2 linked regions of the Schizosaccharomyces pombe genome follow. The gene in region 1 interacts genetically with each later gene. Each region holds a gene or a part of one and is shown on either strand. Other genes may lie near its edges.

Region 1 (6,509 bases):
AACTCGTCAAGCTCTTGAACAGGCCGTCAAAGAGGATCCTATCGTTTTATTCATGAAAGGTACACCTACCCGCCCAATGTGTGGATTTTCATTAAAGGCGATTCAAATTCTTTCATTAGAAAACGTTGCTTCCGATAAATTAGTTACGTACAACGTTTTGAGTAATGATGAGCTACGTGAAGGTATAAAGGAGTTCAGCGACTGGCCTACGATTCCTCAACTTTATATTAACGGAGAATTCGTGGGCGGTAGTGATATCTTGGCGTCCATGCATAAATCGTAAGTAATGTTTTAAACTGTATTTTTATTATTTGGTAGAGAGACGGTGAGGATTGAGGAGGTGTCATAGGAAATGTTAAAGATGATGAAGGAGGATTCTACAACTGTTTAATCACTCTAGTTGATATTAAAGATAAAAAAACCCTGTTATATTTTCGCTCTTTCTTCAAATGAACTTTCCCTTTTAAAGCATTGGATAAAAATCAACTATTAGTGTATCAGTGTCTTTAATTCGTCGTCTATATATGCCACATTGTTCTCTCCCTCATTTTTTCTCTCATATTTAATTATTTCTCCTTGTCAACATTTCTGTATTAACAATTTGTCTGTAGAGGAGAGCTTCACAAAATTCTAAAAGAAATAAATGCTTTGGCCCCTGAACAGCCAAAGGATAGTGAAGAGGAAACTACTAAAAAGGATTGAGTCCACATTGCAAATTAATTTGCACAACGTACCACGGTCTTGTGCATTTTTTAGTTTATTGGTCAACTTGACACCACAGGCCATGTATATCAATCAGACGTTATTCAATTATCTTTTTGCTGTACGCTTGATATTCTTTAATGAAGCTTTGAAATTCTGTTTCTCCTCTTTTTTGTGTTCATGCCCTTTCATGACAAAATGTTGGAAATAATGTAAAAGAGCTCTATAAGAAAAAATAATTTTTATCGGAAGTTATTTTTTGGATCAACCTCAATATCAATTTGAAAGCGATCATGTTCATGTTCATGTCCATCCAAATGACATAGAGAATGGAAATTAGTGTCGTGATTTATGCCTTATTGTTATTCCTTGACTTTTTTTTTAAAAAAAATGTCGTAAATTAGATTTAATGTTAAAGCGCTATTGCTGAATACTGTTTTATTTTGCTTATGTTGTTGCACAGAACAATGTCTTGGTAGGTGTAATTCACAGAAAGCATTACGATTGGTTATCTGATATGATTTAAAAATTCTTCTTTGATTATATAAAGTACTGGCTTATCGACGTTACGAGACGTTTACCAAACTTTTATTAACAGATGCTTGTGTTTCTTGACAAACAACATTATTCCTTCCAAGCTCAGCATATAGCGAATTATAGTGTAACTGCGATATAAAGTATTAGCGAACTCTCCCTTTTTAATTCTATTCAAATTGCGTTAGTTTGTGTAGCATGTAATGACGGCACGCGCATAGTGAATTGTAATATACAAAACGCTACACCAAAGCGCGCGCTCTAAAACACGCCAAAACGAGGTGCACGCAACTTAGCTTGCGCGAAAGCGCGTTTCTCGCGTCGCGTCGCGTTTACTTCTTTTATATGCTTGCTATGCCTGTCTTTTGCTTTTTCACTGACACTTTGACTTGTGTTGAGTTACAAGAAAGGCTTCAAAGGCACTTGTACAAGTGTAATTTCCCTTTTACAAGACTCTACCAAAGGTTGGATCCACCTTGAAGTCCTTCTCTTGTTGTCGCTGCTTTTTGCGTTTCTTCTTTTCTCTTTGAATATTCCTTCTTTCTAATTTCTTTTTTCAAATACATGCTATAGGGATCAGTTTAGGCTCCATATACTAGGTTGAGCTGGTTTTAACTGTAAACAATAGTAAATTAAGCTTTCAGTATTTTGAGTGTCAAGCTAGTTTTTACTCCGGAGTATCTTATTTCTACTGTACTTATTTTCTTTTAATTAATTTTTTACACTTTTCAGCTGCTAAGTGTCGGTTTCTATTGTGTACTTTACCGTTTTAAGTTTCTTTGTTTTCTTTGTTCTGGTTCGCTTATTGTCCTACTCTTTTACAGGAGGCGCTTGCCAAAGACAGTCATTTCTCTTATAACAAGTACACTATATCTTATTAAAACATAATTAATCGTCCCCTTTCGATATTAGTGCAACAATTGCTATCCTACAGTCTTCCCAATTGCAATTTATTTAGCCTTTCAGCATTGCTCTCGCCCTCAAGCTGAAAAGGTTTTACTCGCTTTTCTTGCTGGAAAAATAACACCTACATTTGTTATTCTTTTAAATTCGAACTATCAAACTTATTTGCTTGTATTGTTCGTCTTAGTGCTGCTTTTTCTGATCCATCGTTTGTTTATCAAACCTTCAACTTTGCTTTTTCTAAACTAATTACAAAGAAGTGTTCTTTTTAATTCTCTTCGTTAATCATTGTCCCTTTAAACTACGCTCTTGTGCTTTATAAGAGTTAATTCTGCATACCTCAAAGAGGTAAATTCATTTTCGAATCGAACGTTAAAAAATTTATCTTTACTTTTTTTTCTTTCTCAATTTTGATTACATCTGCTTGTTTTTTTTTTTCGTTTATATCCACAACAGTAGGTTGGTTTGGTTTGTTTACACAATTCATTTGTTTATGTTTGGACGATTTCTTTCCCTTTCTTCCTATCAACAACAATAGAATAATTCGGACCCATTGATTTATTCTCATTTAAAAGAGAAACTTTAAAAATTCGCTATAAGTGCTTTCTGTTTCTCGATCGCTCAATTTCCCTAATTTATCCATCTTGTCAATTGAGATTAATTTACCAAAAACAGTTTCCTTATTTTAATAAAAAGAAGACATTTTTGGTTACAAACAATCAGATATATTTCTATACGTTGATAAAAGGGTAATTTATCAATCCATATTTCATATGGCTCTCTATTCAATTTCAAAGCCTGTTGGTTCTAAAATCAATAAGCATAGTTATCAAGATGAAAACACACTTGTTGGCAAACAAGCTTTATCAAAAGGGACTGAGAAGACAAAATTATCTACAAATTTTGAAATTAATCTGCCACGTCGAACTGTCCTATCTGATGTTTCCAATGTAGGTAAAAATAATGCTGATGAGAAGGATACGAAAAAAGCGAAAAGATCGTTCGATGAATCTAATTTATCTACAAATGAAGAAGCTGATAAACCTGTCGAATCTAAATTCGTGAAAAAGTTGAAAGTTTATAGCAAAAATGCGGATCCATCTGTAGAAACTTTACAAAAGGACAGAGTCTCTAATGTTGATGATCATTTATCCTCCAATCCTTTGATGGCTGAGGAATACGCACCCGAAATATTTGAGTACATCAGAAAGCTGGATTTAAAGTGTCTTCCCAATCCAAAATATATGGACCAACAAAAAGAATTAACCTGGAAAATGAGGGAAATTTTGAATGAATGGTTGGTGGAAATACATTCCAACTTTTGTTTAATGCCCGAAACCCTTTATTTGGCAGTCAATATAATTGATCGATTCTTGTCGCGTCGTTCATGCTCTTTGTCTAAATTTCAATTAACAGGCATTACTGCTCTTCTCATCGCTAGCAAATATGAGGAGGTTATGTGTCCTTCGATACAAAACTTTGTTTACATGACTGATGGTGCTTTTACCGTAGAAGATGTCTGTGTCGCTGAACGTTATATGTTAAATGTTCTCAATTTTGACTTGTCCTATCCAAGTCCTTTAAATTTTCTTCGCAAAATATCTCAAGCAGAAGGTTATGATGCACAAACAAGGACATTGGGGAAATACCTAACAGAAATTTATCTGTTTGACCACGATTTATTACGATATCCTATGTCTAAAATTGCTGCTGCCGCAATGTATTTGAGCCGCCGATTATTGCGTCGCGGCCCATGGACGCCAAAGTTAGTTGAAAGCTCTGGTGGGTATGAAGAGCATGAATTAAAGGAGATAGCGTATATTATGCTTCATTATCATAACAAGCCTCTAGAACACAAAGCCTTTTTCCAAAAATACTCCTCAAAAAGGTTCCTGAAGGCTAGTATTTTTGTTCATCAACTCGTCCGTCAACGATACTCAGTCAATCGTACGGACGATGATGACCTTCAATCAGAACCGTCTTCTTCTTTAACAAATGATGGTCACTAACGAACGCTCTTATAAATTTTCTTACGCAAATATTCTGTTGAATATGAGGTTGAGCTCTTCTTTTATTATTTATTATCATAACTTATTTACTTTTTAAAGAGCTTCTTTTTCTTCTTCTCTTTCTTTGAATCTTATCATCTTTATGCAAGGACTGTTTTCAAGTATGTCATCAAGCCTTTCCTCCTTGATAACTAAGTCCTTAATTATATACCATATACCCAAGTTTTATCCAAGAGTTTTAGAATTGAAAATTTTGTAGTCTACTAAACAAACCGTGTTGATGCTTAATCCTCACACATTGTCTTTTAGATGATTCCGTTGATTCTAGAGTATTCGATAATTTCATTCCTTACTTTATGTTACGTTTACATTTTTTATTTCAAAATACGTGTACGTTGTTTCCTCATATTTCTGTTAAACAACATGTTTCTAATTAATGGAGTTTTCTTTATTCATTCATAAAACTTAAAGCTCAAGCGGTATATAACAAACTGGCTAAACCATTAATAGGCAAAAACCAAGTAACTCATAAAGATAAACAAAGAAAGTAGACATAAGGAAAAAGGTAAAGCTGACTCGTTTTCTATACAAAAAGGGAATTTTTAAACCTAAGAAACAAACTTTTAATTGATAACAAATATAGAAAAAGAAGGCGATTTCCAACGAGAATAAGGAAATAAAAAAGAAAAATTCGATAATAGAATCACTGTTATTCTGTCTCATACATTCGTCTTAAATTAATGAACATTTGAGCTTTTTTTATCGAGAGCTTGGCGATTGTGAGAAATCCAAATGTCATGCCCACCTAATCGTCCGCTGGCTTCACTAACAAGTGTTGAGATAGGAATCATTAAAGCTACGCTAGTAGCTGAAGAAACAGAAGGTGAACGGATCTTCATAAATCTCTGTTTTACACGGGGACGAAGACGTTCAGGAAGCGCTTCCATCTGTTTATCAAATTTGGAGTTGTTGAGTAGGTGGCGTATCCTTCCTCCTCTAATGCGTTGAACGAAGCCAAGGGAATGACGAATAGAGTCAATAACTTCGTTGGGAGATGTGGGTTCATACGGGATAAGACTAAGGGATTCAACATCATGATCGGTTGAACGGCGCTTAGAACGGAACCTAGGATTTAGAATCCAAGAGAAAACAGTGTCAATTGTCTTAACCGGAAGGACCTTTCTTAGGAAATTGTTTGGTACACAACGAATCAAGGCTCCAAGTGGGATAGAGATAACACCAAACACGATGGAAATCGCCCATCCTTTACCATCGATTCTTTTTACGGAGAATGCGGCACCTCCGAAAAAAACAATTATAACTTGGATACCAGCAACAATAACGAAAATAGCAATAAAGAGGAAGTTATGGTTAATACGTTCAAAAATATTGAGCTTGTTATCCAATCTCCGATTGTTAATTTCGTTAAACAGCTGGAGCCAGACAAAGGTATTGAAAACAATAGTATTCATGTCCGCAGTATTGGAAGGGTAATGGAAGATACTATTACCAGCAAAGTGTAGCACCAAAGTAACAGCAAGTTGGTACATAGATTGACAAATAATCATTTTCCACATGTCAAAAGTAAAAAGCGATGCACCTGGTTTCTCAGGTTTCCTCTTTAACACTTCAGGAGTAGGAGGGTCAGTGGCAAGTGCAAGAGCAGCAAGTGTATCCATAATTAAATTAACCCACAAAAGCTGAACAGCAGTTAAAACAGAGCTTTGGTCAGTCGAGGCAACAGCAGAGATAATAGTCAAGAAAACAGCCGTAATATTCACGGTAATTTGAAATTGCAGGAATTTTTTTACAGCGTCGTTAACGGTTCTTCCCCAAGCAATTGCTTTCACAATTGACGAGAAGTTGTCGTCCATAAGGATAATATCGGACGCCTCCTTGGCAACTTCGGTTCCCGATTTACCCATTGAAAAGCCGACGTTAGCTTTTTTTAGTGCAGGCGCATCATTGGTACCATCACCTGTAACCGCTACTACGTTACCAAGCTTCTGCAGTCCTTCAATCAATAACTGTTTGTCCAAAGGAGATGAGCGTGCAAGTACATCTAATTTGGGTAAGATTTCTAAGCGTTTCTCATCAGAAAGAGATCGAAATTCCGGTCCTTCCATGGATATTCCATCCTCTGTGTAAATTCCGCACTGCGAAGCAATAGCCTTAGCAGTAACAATATTATCACCAGTAACCATACGAACAGTCACCCCTGCACCTTGGCAAACCTTTACAGCCAAAGGTACATCTGGCCGAATAGGGTCCATGATACCGAAAAATCCTAAGAAAGTCATGTCTGTAAATGCGTCTTCCCATTTCAAAGGATTAGAACTATCCTCGTCATTGGTGGGAATA
Region 2 (4,200 bases), 2.7 Mb from region 1:
TACTAAGCTCAGGGGTATCGGTAACGGGTTTGCTTGCGACGAAATCCAAAGTTTGATGTTGCCCGGAGGAATTTTGGTTATGTACAAAAAAAGTGGATTCGTTATTTTCCGATTCAAGCTGAGATGAAGCCCTATCAACTGTAGTCGACGATTCTATATTGGCTTTGATATTGTCGTTCGAAACAGGCTTATCTTCAAGTTTGTCAACAGCATCTAAAGATGAAATTTGCATTTCTTTTGGCGTCGTATTCAATACTACAGAATCGTTGTTAAACTCTTTTTCATTCCCAGCTTCAGAAGTTAGATTTACGGTTTCAAAAGTCCCTTCCATTCCGTGAATGGAAGGAACCTCGTGGACTTCATGGTCTTCATTTTCATGCTCAAAAGTTGTAATTAAATCAGATGTCTGATCTTCCATATCAAGAGTGTCATTATATTGAGAGTTCGTAATGTATGCATTCTCAACTGAAGTACTAGTTTCTATCTTTTCGACTTCTGGAGATGGTGGTTTAGGAATTGTCTCATCATTATCATATATTTCTTTTTGCGACGATGAATAGTTTTCGTCACCCTTAAGAGTCGTTTCTAAGTCTTCCTTGCTCAAGTCTTCTTCAGAGAGTTTATCGTCTTCATCCACAACAGGCTCATCCATTATGTCAGAAATAATGGTTCCAGCAGTAATTTTTACCAAGTTATCATTTGAAGACTCCTCTTCTGTGTGAGCCGATTTGTCGCCAATGGTATTTTGAGGATTAATTTCCTGCACATTGTCCAAAGAATTACTCTCTATTAAGTTGCTTTCTTCTTTAACACCTTCTTTAGGCTCAGAGGAAGGCAACTGAATGTCAATTTCTGAAACTGACTGTTGAGAGGAGCTATTGGCTATGTTGTTTTCAACAAAGGAATCCATAGGTTCAATTGTGCTTTGTTCTTTTCTAGAGGTAGAAAAAATGGTGTTTTCATCTGTCACATCAATATCGTCAGCTTCAAAAGACTTGCGTATAGAATCATGCCGTCCTTCAAGATCAACAGAAGACTCCTTAGGCTCGTGGTCTGATTCAATATCCATTCCTTGATACGTTAGTGCCCAATATTATATTACTAAGACGAAAAATTTAGCTTATTTTTTAAACGAAAAATAGGCAGCAAAGTATACCAATAAATGGAGGATAAAACAATGCTCAAAGTTGTAGGAAAAAAATTGGCCCCTAGCTTTCCATGAGAAATGGTCAACCAAAATTTCACAAACAGTAATCGAAAATAATAATAGGTAGGTTCAAATAAAAAACAATCAACCACAAGGATATAGAAAATGGTAGGAAGTTTGTTGATGGCGCCAGTCAGTATCGAGAGATTAAAGTCAGAAGCAGAATAGCATACATCCTTATACTACGCTATATTAATTGTTCGTGAATGTTGTTCATAATTCTTCGTAAGGGTAAATATAGTAAACAAAAAAGCTATTCAAACATTAACGCAATTATTGAAGAAGAAACGGCTCAAGTTATTATATGTTTGAATACTAAATTACTCTTGATGAAAGTGTAAATGATGTGCAATTAGCAAACATCAACGGTTACGCATTCGGTATGAATATGTATTTACAAATCTTTAGAAAAGTAGTATTTACAAAAGCGTTAGAAATAACTTTTAAAAAAGGCTTTCAAAGATATAACATAGGTAAATTCCTTTTCTTATATCTCTGTTATTTTATAGCTTCTATTAGAAGCGAGCTAAGAATGGTTAAATACCTTTTCTAAATGCGTTTTGCCCACTTTTCTTTAAAAATATTTGATTCTCCTTATTACTCAGTAATGTATCTTGCATTTTTCTAACGCGCAGTGCGGTAGGTTTGCTATTCCCTGCCAACACTGTGCTTGTCCATTGCTCTCACGCGAAATCTACGGAACAGCATTTGCAGTTCAGGTTTATAAGATTGTTGTATTTTAAATTATTTAAGTCCAGTATTGCTGTGCAAGTTGATACTGTTTGGCACGCATAGCACGAGGACTGAAATTCCATTAAAATTTTAAAAGCTTTATCATTTTCTCGACACTCAGCACTTTACTGACTGTCGTTTAACGTTAATACCTTTTCTTTACCTTTTAGTGCATTATTCTATCCTTTGGATTGAACTACAAATTCGTTAGGTGTTGCTCTTTAGTTCCGGCAGCTATAAAATTATTATTCTTTATTTTATTCTTTTCGACAATAAACTATAGCATTTTTATTTCTTTCCCGCATTCTAGAAAAAATGGAAAACTTGGAATCCCCTAATTATGAACCAGCACTTGTCTATGAATGGATAATTCAACTTGTTTCTGGGACATCTCGCGAACAAGCTCTTGTCGAACTATCTCGTAAACGAGAACAGTATGAAGATTTGGCTCTTATTTTATGGCATTCATATGGTGTGATGACGGCTTTGTTGCAAGAAATTATCAGCGTTTATCCTCTTTTAAATCCACCCACACTTACAGGACCAACTAGTAACAGAGTGTGCAACGCGCTAGCTTTACTCCAGTGTATCGCTTCTCATCCTGAAACTAGAATCCACTTTTTAAATGCACACATTACTTTATTTCTATACCCGTTTTTGAATACCCTTTCAAAATCCAAACCTTTTGAATACCTGCGCCTTACTAGTTTAGGGGTGATTGGTGCATTAGTTAAAAATGACTCTCCAGAAGTAATCAACTTTTTATTATCTACAGAAATTATTCCTCTTTGTCTCAGAATCATGGAGAACGGTTCTGAATTATCAAAAACCGTTGCGATTTTCATCGTACAAAAATTTTTATGTGACGACGTTGGTCTTCAATATATTTGTCAAACATATGAACGCTTTTATGCAGTTGCGTCGGTTTTGAACAACATGGTAATGCAGCTTGTAGACTCTTTTGCTTTTCGTTTACTAAAGCATGTTATTCGTTGCTATCTTCGTCTTAGTGACAATCCTCGCGCCAGAGAAGCTCTAAGACACTGTCTACCAGAACCTTTACGTGATGCTACCTTTGCTCAGGTTTTAAAGGATGATCACAACACTAAAAAATGTCTTGCCCAATTGTTAATCAACTTATCAGACGTCGCCGTTGTTAATCAGTAATCGTTATTTTTTTTTTTTTTAAAAAACTTTTCTTAAATGTTGAATTAATTATTTCAATATCTGCCCTTCGTTTCCTATCTGGTTTACTTTCAATCATAATTTGTGACCGTAAGTGATTGGCATATGGCGATTTTTTGTGTTATTCGTCCGTCACCAATTTTTTCTTGTGTCTTTCTTATATCTTCCTTTATTATTATTTTTGCCCTGTCATTTTTCACTCCTCTTAATGTGCTCAAGTTATTCCTCAGGACAGAACTTACTCTGATGGCTTTTTTAAGGAAATCAGGGGTTTACTGTTAATTTTGCTTACAATTGTTAGATTCAGGATTTCATATCCTTTTCTCTTAATCTTTCCTTAAAATGCGTCACGAATGATGATTTTTACGAGTCAGCAAAATTTAAAAAAAAAAATAGAAAAAGATATAACATTCGCCGACGCATTTAATGTTTTTAACCAAAACACCTTTTTTCCTATTTCGTATCATATATACTTATACTATTTCTACAATATTCAATTCAGTTTCATCGATTACCTCTAATAAATTTAAAGAATTCGTACAATAGACAACAGAATTTGATTTATATTTACGTTCGTTAATTCTGCTATACTTCATTCAAGCAAATAATCAGATAAAAGTAATTTGAGATAATTTGTCCTCCTAATTATAGTGTTTGTCATATGCGACTACCAAGAATTACTAAATTTGCTTTATATCGAGAAAACCCTTGCCTACTCCCTCTTTATCATGCCACAAGAGATCCATCTTTGGCTAAAAGAGAGTGGACGTGGATATGCAAGGAATTAAAGCTGCTGTATCCAGAAATTAGCAAACATGGGTTGCGAAAAAAGATAGTAAATGCCTGTCAACTTCGAGCAAGAAACTATCCACTTCAGTATATACTGAAAAGTCAACCTTTTGGTAATATCAAGATAGATTGTCAACAAGGAGTTTTAATACCTCGTTGGGAAACAGAAGAATGGGTTGAACGTGTGGTTGATAAGCTAAATCGACTCGAGAGATTAAAACCGTTAAAGATTCTCGATTTATGTACAGGGTCTGGCTGCATATCAAGCTTTGTGTTGGCAAACCTAA

Evidence for each region.
Region 2: of cig2 (region 1) and rcd1, changing one suppresses a phenotype caused by changing the other (phenotypic suppression), as found in Schizosaccharomyces pombe (one study listed by BioGRID).

The regions. Positions count from the first base shown.
Region 1 is NC_003424.3:2,708,168-2,714,676, forward strand, and holds cig2 (G1/S-specific B-type cyclin Cig2), read left to right. Parts: upstream 1-1,614; 5' UTR 1,615-2,912; coding exon 2,913-4,148; 3' UTR 4,149-4,885; downstream 4,886-6,509. Other genes in the region: mitochondrial [2Fe-2S] cluster assembly and transfer glutaredoxin Grx5, read left to right, coding at 1-279, 612-702; P2 type calcium transporting P-type ATPase Pmc1, read right to left, coding at 4,886-6,509. UniProt on the Schizosaccharomyces pombe protein: Essential for the control of the cell cycle at the G2/M and G1/S (mitosis) transition. Interacts with the cdc2 protein kinase to form MPF. Interaction with res2 promotes the phosphorylation of res1 and inhibits MBF-dependent gene transcription.
Region 2 is NC_003424.3:5,416,866-5,421,065, reverse strand, and holds rcd1 (CCR4-NOT complex subunit Rcd1), read left to right. Parts: upstream 1-1,892; 5' UTR 1,893-2,254; coding exon 2,255-3,106; 3' UTR 3,107-3,700; downstream 3,701-4,200. Other genes in the region: multidomain vesicle coat component Sec16, read right to left, coding at 1-1,069; mtq1 (S-adenosylmethionine-dependent methyltransferase), read left to right, coding at 3,786-4,200. UniProt on the Schizosaccharomyces pombe protein: A differentiation-controlling factor that is essential for the onset of sexual development. Induces ste11 when sexual development is invoked through nitrogen starvation.